Linked DNA regions of Drosophila melanogaster. The protein of the gene in region 1 binds, or shares a complex with, the protein of each later gene. Each region holds a gene or a part of one and is shown on either strand. Other genes may lie near its edges.

Region 1 (3,509 bases):
AGGCGAATGCAACCAACTGTCACACGTCCGTGCGAAATTAATAAATTACATTTTCTCTATTTTTTTTTCGCGCAAAAATACTTGCCAATTTTTTAACCCAAAACGCTAGGGGAGTGGGGGAATTTAATTTTCGGGTGCACGAAGGGGTTGCGCAACGCATTAACTGAGCCCATTAATAAGCGTAGCCAACCCCGGATGACACGTGGGTCACTGTCGCCCGACCTGGAAAAAGGACAAGAGCGACAGGCGGCGCGAAAATGGGTAAAAAATAACAAAAGGAGCACCCAGCAAAAAACAGTGGAAAACTGGCAAAAAATAGAGGAAGCCCGTTAAATTTCTCACTCGATTTGAAATCGGGACTTTTCAATAAATTTGGCACAAACCTTGGCAGTTGCCATTCTTTGTTCGCCAGGCAATAATCCTCTTAACTGCAGCGAGTGTCGCAAAATTGGAACAATGCCGCGGGGAAAATGAACACGTTGCATAGGGGCACCAGTAGTAGCTACGTCCTTGCCTCCTTCCGCTCCTTGTTAAGTAAATGAGATTTCAGTGGGAAACAAAGGCGGAAGCCTCCTTGGATAAGCCGGCAACTAGGACGGACTAGGACGGTCCAGGAAGCTTCCCTGCTTGAGAGAACAATAACTGCAGAACGATGCGGAGTTAATCAGCGGATTTCTCACTATTGCATCAGTTCATCAATTAACGTTAGCTAATACCAATTTTGGAACTAGGTTTGTTCTAAAGTGTAGTTTTTGTGTCTGCACTTTGATTAAATATACTTGATTATAATAATACAGCGAATGTGTAAATTAGTTGTGACACAAATATATACATTATATTTAAATTTAGGTGGTAACACAGTTTAACTAATTATGGTTAATTAGTATTATATTTTAATATACAAACATACACAAATACAAACACCAAATCAATTCCGAAAAAAATCGATTCATTTTTTAGTTTGTAATTCTTCTAACTATTATTTTATATTCATCCCATTTTAAACTGAAGATTTCGCCTTTTGGAGAGCAAGTTTGGAATGGCGTGGAGCTTAAACTTCAGTCTTCCAACTTCATAATTATATAAATAGCCATTACGTTGGCTGATAGATATTTGAATAATTTAATTAATTGAATAAATTTAAAGGCTATGCATACCAACGTATTATAATCATTATATTGATAAGAAAAACCTGGCAAATTTGTCTCCTTCTTACCCTCTAAGGATCGGGGATTTACTATACTAATTTATGCCTTAAATGTATAAATTCGACCCAGAAGTACAAATGAATTCAACTCCAAAATAAAATTTTATTGGGCCAGCAGTTATGAAGGTTAGACAAAAGGGAACAATATATAAATGCGAGGCCAAACAAAAACATCAGGCACTCAAAACAAATATATATTATAAATAAGAATATTTTATAAATAGTATTTGAATGCAATGAAATCGTTAAACAAAATAATTAATATTAAAATGATGTCAATAATTTCGGTTGAAACAAATGGGGTAATAAATATGCATTGTGTGTTCTAGTAAACAATACTTCGAAAAGAGATATGGCTTACCAATAAATGCTTCACCGCATAATCATAAATAATTTAAAATTGATAACAAATTTTAAATACATTTTTTAATTTGGATTAAAACTGAGCTAGGTGGGTGTCTAGAATACTTTAATGGCTTGAAACCTCGCTAAAACATCAAATGTATAACTAACTGGTCACACTAAAGCGGCAGATTTTAACTGCTACGTAGACACGGTCACTCCGACAATAATATGAAGTAGAAAAACAAGGAATTTTCCAAAAATTCTGAACGAAAACGACCAGACTGCTATTGTTTGGATACACCCAAAGACCGCAATAGACTGTCACTCTCTCTTCCCCAAAACAAACGAATAAACATGGTTCTAGGGTAAGTCCGTATGCTTTCTCTTGAGGCTTACGTAAGCCTGACACTCTTCGAATCCTTTCCAGATTTCTAGTGCGCGGCGGTCTGGTGGCCGCAACCGTCTACTACACACAAAAGGTGGGCATCTGGGGAGACTCTGACCAGACGGACAAGCTGTACAACGACATCAAGTCGGAGCTGCGCCCGCATGTCCAGAAGCTGGAGAAGCAGCTGCCCTTCGAAGTGCCGCAGTTGCCCAAAACCGGCGAGATGCGCTTCCTGGCCAAGCACTACTACAACGAGGGCGTGAAGAACACCTTCCGTTTCATCCACATGCTGCCCTGCTACGCAGGCAGGGGCCTCAAGAAGGTCAAGGACACGTTCCAGGACTTTGCCCAATCCCCAGCCATCGCCGGCGGTGCGGAGTCCAGTCCGCCGAAGTAACCTGACCCACTGCTCTTCAATGGCAGGCTGTTTTCGTGTTAGCTCATAGTTAGCCTATTGAATAATGTCGTTGTAATGTGTCGTTATTCCTCGATCCGCTCGCCAGCGGATAAGCGACTATAGATCTGTTCTCGACGTACTGAAACGCATCGAACTGGAACGTCCAGTTTAGAAATAAACAATTCTACGTGGTAGGCGTTAAGATCGCACTTAAACCGATGATGTATTCATTTGGGTGCACGGCAAGAAACTGCAGTTTGAAGATAATCTCAGGTAAAATGGTATTTAATATTTAATATATACAAATATTACCGGTTATAAAAATCGATCAACCGTATTTCAATAAGGAAAGATATGATTTGAAAAAGAAGAGCATGGCACCGTAATCCTTAAAATAATCTTTTAATAGTATGATATATGATCTGTGTATTATTCTGACTTCTTTCGGTGTAGTTAAAAAATAACCATGTTACTTTAGTGATATGTGCTTCTATAAATATCCAGGCAAGCTGCTTTTTGCGCTCCACTAATTAAGATCTTTTCGTGTCCACGTAAGACGTCTGTCAGAGCACACTCCCCAAACAGGGCGGTGCAAAGAAAACTGATTTATTAGCCCACTACCGCTCCGGTTTTTGCGCCAGCTCAGACTATTAGATCTTGTATTTGGATCTAATATTTTGTCAGCTATAAAACTGAGGAAACCTGTCACGATGATTAGTCTTCTCGAAGCACGTGAACAGGGTTGTTTTCTGTATTACCAACATGTCAGATATCCGAAAGTTCTCCCACACAAGTGTTTTGATATCACTTGTACATCTTTCTTCTCGCTGATAACACGAAATTATTGCTGTAAACAATGTGATGTTTGAGATCGGCGATGGTTATAGAAAAGATGGCCGACTCTTGTTCAACAGAACGGCGATAAAGATCTCAGCTAGCGTTGGTTTTGCCTCAACTGAGTCAGCCCGCCATGACTGGGATTTTACAGCAGCTTCCGCTATGACAGCACGTTACGCATACGCCCCAGTGGCAAGAGCAAATATTAAACATTACTTTAGAAGGCGCAACGAATGAGAGTCCAAAGACGTCATTGAAGGCGAACGTACGCCGGTAACTGATAACAGTTTAGTGCCACAATTTGGCTACCAGGAGTCGCATAGATAGAACCAGTC
Region 2 (6,287 bases), on another chromosome or scaffold:
TCGATCTGCTTGCAGGTCTGAACTACCAGGACCACTGCGATGAGCAGAACAAGCCGACCCCCAAGGAACCATTGTTCTTTAGCAAGTTTAACAATGCCCTGGTGGGTCCTCAAGATAATGTCATCGCTCATGCGGCCAGCAGCGTAAGTGAAGCAAGAGATAACAAGAGATAGGCTCATCGAGATAACCAACCGACCAAAAAAAAATTCCACAGAAAATCGATTGGGAGGTTGAGCTGGTCTGTGTCATTGGCAAGGTCGCCCGCCAGGTGCCCAAATCGCAGGCCATGGACTATGTCTTCGGGTATTCGGTGGCCCAGGATATCTCCGCCCGCGACTGGCAGAAGGAACGCAACGGTGGTCAGTTCCTTATGGGCAAGTCGATGGACACTTTTCTGCCGCTGGGACCGGCTGTGGTGCACAAGAGTCTGGTGCCGGATGTTTACAACTTGAATCTGAAAACCTGGGTCAACGGCGTGGAGAAGCAGAACGGCAATACCGGCAACTTGATCTTCAAGCTGGACGATGTGATCAATCGTCTGTCGCAGACCATTACCCTGCTGCCCGGCGACATCATAGTCACCGGAACGCCCAAGGGCGTGGGCATGCATCGCACTCCGCCGGAATTCCTTCAGCCCGGTGATGTCGTGCAGTCGGAGATTGTTGGATTGGGCAAGCTGTGCAACAAGATTGTGGCTCCCTAAGATTGTCAACTCATTTGGCTTGTTGTGTTTGTAAAGTTTGTGTTATTAGTGAAACAATGGCATTTAATAGATGATTTTGTAGTTTTCAATAGATAAACTATAATCAGATATTTTGGTTTTGTTTAATTCAAGTATGTAGTATCTTTGATTAGCCAGGTCACACCTTAAAGGTCTTTGACTGTGTGGCGTAGTACTCGTTGCGGCTGTGATAGGGCTTATAGGGATCGTTGATGAAATGCTTTGGGCGCCGCCAATAGCTGGTGACCATCTTGTCCAGCAGCCAGCTCTGCGTGGCATTGGTGAAGACGTGCTGCTTGAGGCGGCGTCGTAAAGCTGCGGATTTCTTGAAGAGCTTCTTTTGGCGACCGGAATGGGTGCGTATCCAGGCGCCCCAGTCCAGGCGCTTAAAACGTTTCAGTACCGCCTTGACGGTCTTTCGTTTACCCTTCACCAGCGAGAATTTGGTCACGTTGCGTGTGTTTGATGGTGTTCCTGTGGCTGCTAGCACACCCGGCAGCTGCAGGAGCTGGTGATGAGCAGGAGATGCCAGTGATGGCGTGGGCAACAGGCACGGACGGGATAGAGTCATCAAAGTGGCACGTTGTGTCCGCTGGACCAGAGGAACCAACGAAGATGCAGCCGGCGACTGGCGGCAAACGCTTCGCAGCGCTGAAAGTTAAGAACAATTAAAGTAACGTAAACTTGTAAGCCCTATTAGCTGACTTCAACTTACCGCTTGTCACAAAAGTTCTTAGCATTTCACTTAAAACGACAAAGATAAACCTATAATTCCATACAAAACGCAGGTGCTCTTCTTCTTATCGAATCGCGTAACAGTCAGCTGTGTGCCATTCACAGCGAACAAACATAGATTAGCTTGCTATTGGAGATGGGAACCGGTCATCATAAGAACTATCGCAAATGTTTTGGGATTCACCCAAGGAATGGATCAAGTTCAATTTTTCGTTGATAACAATTAAGGCAAAAGGATCCCTTAACCATGTAATCCATTTGTAGAACACTGACAATTCTGACAATTTAAAACTTGTTATAAAAATTGTTGCTTAAACTTATGCGCCCATCTCCAAATCAAATGTATTTTGACTGGCCTATCGAGTACATGCGTATATGTTGCCGACACTTTTTCCATCAAAACACAAACCAAAATTGAGTGATCAAATTCGAGTGGCGCGGGCAAGCGAAACGAAAAGGACGACGAGCAGCACGCAGGACTCGTGTGCGTGTGCGTGGGAGTGTGGGGAATGGAAGAGGAAGCAGCAGCACTGGCCAGCCATTCACCCACCAGCGCTGACGCAGTCGAGCCAGCTTCGAACGAATTGGGCAATATTTAATTCACGCCGCCGGGACTTGAAATTTACGGTAGCCGAAGGAGCAGGAGCACGAGCAGAGCAGGATCACAGCAAAATCAACACCATGTATCGGCTAGCGGTGCGAGATCAGTGCAAGTGCGCCCTGCAGGTGAATTTTTGACCCATTCATTTCTAGCTATTTGATAACGTGAAAATCGATCGTCACGTTGCCCCACACCCCCGCGCGCCCACAAACAAGCGGTTGGCGAAAATACAACAAGAGGCGCTGGTTATGTCATCTACCAAGCCCAGGAATTGGGCGAAAAGCTCCAAAATTCCAGTTGACCAAGGGCGCGGGGGTATCAACGGGCTTGCCAATTTCCTTAAATGTGATGGTCCTAAATGTATTACCTTTCATTGCAACAGCGTACGCTGCAGCAGACGACCGCAAACAACAGGCAATTCGGCGGAAGCAGCAGCGGAAGTGGCGGCCGGGAACAGGGCAGGCGGCAGCAGGAGGAGCAGGGACAGCAAGGCGATCAAGGATATCAAGGATACCAGAGCCTGCCACCGCATATGCGCGAAGCTGGCTTCGGCAAAGTGGTCCTCTTCGTCTCACCACTGGCAGCTGTCGGCGGTGTCATCACCTACGCCAAGTAAATAGAGCCACAATAGAGGTTTAAGATAAGGATAGGCAGTCCACCTGTAGATCAACAAAAATTCGTACACATTTTATTGCACCTGAAATGCTTAAATGAACCATCGAATAATGTAGAAATCCTTTTCCAGATACGACGACGACTTCCGCAAATTGGTGGAGAAGAATGTACCCGGCGCAGGATCCGTCATCAAGGTGGCTCTGCAGGAGGAACCGCCATTCAAGGGCATCACCAAGAACGTCAACGATCAGATCGATAAGGTCAAGTCTGGCATCGAGACAGTGACGTCCACGGTGGACTCCGTTACATCTAAGGTGACGGGCCTGTTTGGCGGCGGCAGCGGCGATGACAAGTCCAAGAAGTCCAAAGTGGAGCCCGTGAAGGCCACTCCTGCTGAGGAAAAGAGACCCTCAAAACCAAGCGAAGTCAGCAAGACTGAAGCGAAGCCAGTGTCGAAGCCAGCAGCAGCAGCAGCGCCTGCGCCCGCTGCCAAGCCTAAGGATAATCCGCTGCCCCGCGATGTTGTTGAGCTGGAGAAAGCCATCGAGCTGTCTGCTCAACTGGCCGTCAAGGAGTACAACGTCGCTATTGGCGTTTTGAAAGGGTGAGCAATTCTCGTTAACTATTCGTTGCGTGATTTTAAATTTAATCAAATATCGTTCAGCTTTAATGACGATGTCCGTAAGGTTGTAGACAAGGCCGTAGAGAATGGAGAGAACTCTCTTTGGACCACGCTGAAAAATCGAGCAAGTGCCCGTGATACGGCAGTGGCTACGGCAGAGCGAGCTGCCCGTGAGGCTCAGGAGAAGATTGGTAAGTCCATTGTTTGTTAAATAGATTCCAAATTTCAGTAACATTCCCTTCTATCAACTGCAGTCGCCTGCGAGATCGCCCTGAGTGCTGCGGCAACGGCCCAAAACGCAAAGAAAGTAGAGGCAGTGCGCGACAAGATCAAGAAGCTTGTGGACCACATTGGCAACGTAAAGGACGAGCTTTACCGGCACAAGGACACGGCCAGCGTGTCAGACAAGTACTGGCGGAATGTGGAGAAGGCGCGAAACTACTTCATTGACGAGATCGAGTCTATCTTCCCCGGCCTCAGTTTGGCGGATAAGAAACTTAATCTGTCAAAGGAGGACCTAGACTTGTTCATCCTGCACGCCTACACCCATGTCCTGGCCTACCAGAAGGAGCTGCAGCGCTTGCAAACCGATGGTGAGCTGCGCCTGAAGAGAGCTATTGACTCGGTTCGCGGTGACAACGATTCGGAGGCTTTGCGCGCCCAACTGGAATACCATTTGGAGGCCGAGCGGCGCAAACTGGCCGTGGAAAATCAAAAGAAAATCTTCCACATCCACGCCGAGTCTGATAAGCTGCTGCGCTTGCAGCTCAAAAAGCAAGCAGAGGCCCACGCCGATCATATAAAGGACATCGTGGCGCAGCGGGAGACCGATCTGACGCGAAGCTTTAAGCGTGAACTTGAGGATAAGCTGGCGACCGAAAAGGCCAACTATAAGTTACAATTGGCCGGGATGCTCGGCAAGCTGCGCGGAATGGACGCGGCTCTGGCAGGTAAGTTATACGTTTTAAACGATATCGGTTGAATGTAGCTAGTGTAGCGTGGCTAGATATATAATGGTTTTCAAACCTTTTCAAAACATGCTGCTATATTAGAGATAGAGGATGAGTTTCAAGGTATATTCACCCTATATGAAGGGTAGTACTTATACCAACTTATTCTTGGTTTAATCAAAATGTTTATTGACATTATATGCAACATTTTTGCAGAGCGTGCGGATGCAGAGCGTACTGCCAATCAGGCGCAGGCCCTTTGGGCCGCCTGCCAAGCTCTGTGGGCCTCCGTGCGCGCTGCCACTCCTGGCGTGCACTATAAGGATAGGTTGCGCCCGTTAAAGAACGAGATCAATGCCATTGCCAAGGTGGCTAGTAAGTTGAAACGTTTCCCACATTTCGATTTCAGTTGCTAAATGCATATGCTTACAGAGGGTGACGACCTGGTGGCCGCTGTGCTGGAAAGCGTCCCGAAGGAGGCTCAGGAGCGCGGTGTCTATCCAGAAGATGCATTGCGCGAGCGTTTCCTGAATGTGGAGCGCGTGGCGCGACGATTGGCTTTGGTGCCCGAGGAAGGAGCCGGCCTGCCCATCTACTTCCTGTCCTATCTGCAATCGCTGTTCATCTTGCGACCCGATAATCCCATATCCAAGGACGAACTCGAGAACAAACCCTTCGACTATAGCAAACTGGACACCTACGATATCCTAAACAGGGCCAGGTGAGGCGATTGATTCATCTATCACTAGAGTTATATAATATATATTATATATATTATGTTTCACAGGTACCATGTGGATCGCAGCGACTTTCTGCAGGCGCTCAAGTACATGAATCTGCTGCAGGGTGCATCGCGCAAGATTGCCGGCGAGTGGATGAAGGAGGCTCGCCTCATGCTGGAGACTCAGCAGGCGGCCAACACCTTGATGGCTCACGCCGCTGCCAGCGGACTATTGTATTTGTAGACTACGTCCCGTGTCCCCTTCCTTCAGAAACAAGATGATACACTTACTATTTGTTATTAGTCCAGGAGAAGATGGTACGATTACCAACAATATGTAATTTGTCCAATTAGCGATCACAGTTGAAACGAAATAGCACTTATATACATATATTTGTAACATTTTGTTTAGCTTCAATTATACAAATTAAACATAGAAACCATCATTATAAAATCCAAAACATAAATACTCTGGGAAGATTTGTAAAAAATTCGATACCAAGGCATGAATGGAATATGATATATTACTAAAGCTGAAATTGGCAAGCTTTGTGTTTCTGAAGAACAATGTGATTAGGCCATAAATAAACATAAAGAACATCCACTTGTTGTTTAATTTAGCGAAAAAAATTAATATAATAAATAAGTTGACTAAAAAGTATGCTGAATGTCAAAATTCAAATAAAATGCATTGGCTAAATTTAATTTCTCTGTTCTGAAAAGAAAGCATGGTAGGCAAGGCAAATGTATTCAAAAACAGGTTACTATGCGGTTGCCGCCAAATTTATTCCTTAAATAATCGTATATGTTCGTTACTAATTTTCGAACGCCAAAATCGCGATAGTTGGTCGTTAGCCAGCACTGGACGCGCCAGTTTCGTGGGCGGCTATCGCCAGCCCTGGTAGTCAGAGGCAATCAGCTGGTTTGCGTGGTCGATTTGGTCCTATTGAAATTTTTCGGTTTGGCACCGGAGCAAAAATCACATCGCAATCAAAAATTTCGCGTGGCCAAAGGACACACTTTTGAGTTTGGATCAACAGCCGGGAAGATCTAGCTAACCGAATAGCAAAATGTCGATGCTGGCGAGAACAGTTGGACGGACGTTCATGCAGGTAAACGGCCATCCAAACCGCAGCTCTTACATAAACACTTGCTCGCGACGCGCTGTGCGAATATTTCTGCGCTGAGGCCTAGTTCTTATACGTTTCTTTTTTTTTTTTTTGAGGTTATAATCCTAGCCAGCCTTAACGATTACATTGCATTCTTCTCGTTTTAGGCTGCGGCAGCACGTAGTCTGCACACCACGTCGACGCTACGGGCTA

The links. The genes of interacting proteins can lie anywhere in the genome.
Region 2: QIL1 (region 1) and Mitofilin share a complex: the UniProt entries of both Drosophila melanogaster proteins name them as parts of the mitochondrial contact site and cristae organizing system (MICOS) complex.

Annotation. Positions count from the first base shown.
Region 1 is NT_037436.4:17,464,220-17,467,728, forward strand, and holds QIL1 (QIL1), read left to right. Parts: upstream 1-1,725; 5' UTR 1,726-1,906; coding exon 1,907-1,917; intron 1,918-1,979; coding exon 1,980-2,337; 3' UTR 2,338-2,549; downstream 2,550-3,509. UniProt on the Drosophila melanogaster protein: Component of the MICOS complex, a large protein complex of the mitochondrial inner membrane that plays crucial roles in the maintenance of crista junctions, inner membrane architecture, and formation of contact sites to the outer membrane.
Region 2 is NT_033777.3:22,018,782-22,025,068, reverse strand, and holds Mitofilin (mitofilin), read left to right. Parts: upstream 1-1,994; 5' UTR 1,995-2,137; coding exon 2,138-2,182; intron 2,183-2,439; coding exon 2,440-2,669; intron 2,670-2,802; coding exon 2,803-3,276; intron 3,277-3,336; coding exon 3,337-3,485; intron 3,486-3,548; coding exon 3,549-4,244; intron 4,245-4,346; coding exon 4,347-4,367; intron 4,368-4,460; coding exon 4,461-4,619; intron 4,620-4,676; coding exon 4,677-4,965; intron 4,966-5,031; coding exon 5,032-5,209; 3' UTR 5,210-5,336; downstream 5,337-6,287. Other genes in the region: CG6028 (uncharacterized protein), read left to right, coding at 16-143, 215-703; mRpL35 (mitochondrial ribosomal protein L35), read right to left, coding at 861-1,372, 1,437-1,461; Idh3b (isocitrate dehydrogenase 3b), read left to right, coding at 6,036-6,077, 6,242-6,287. UniProt on the Drosophila melanogaster protein: Component of the MICOS complex, a large protein complex of the mitochondrial inner membrane that plays crucial roles in the maintenance of crista junctions, inner membrane architecture, and formation of contact sites to the outer membrane.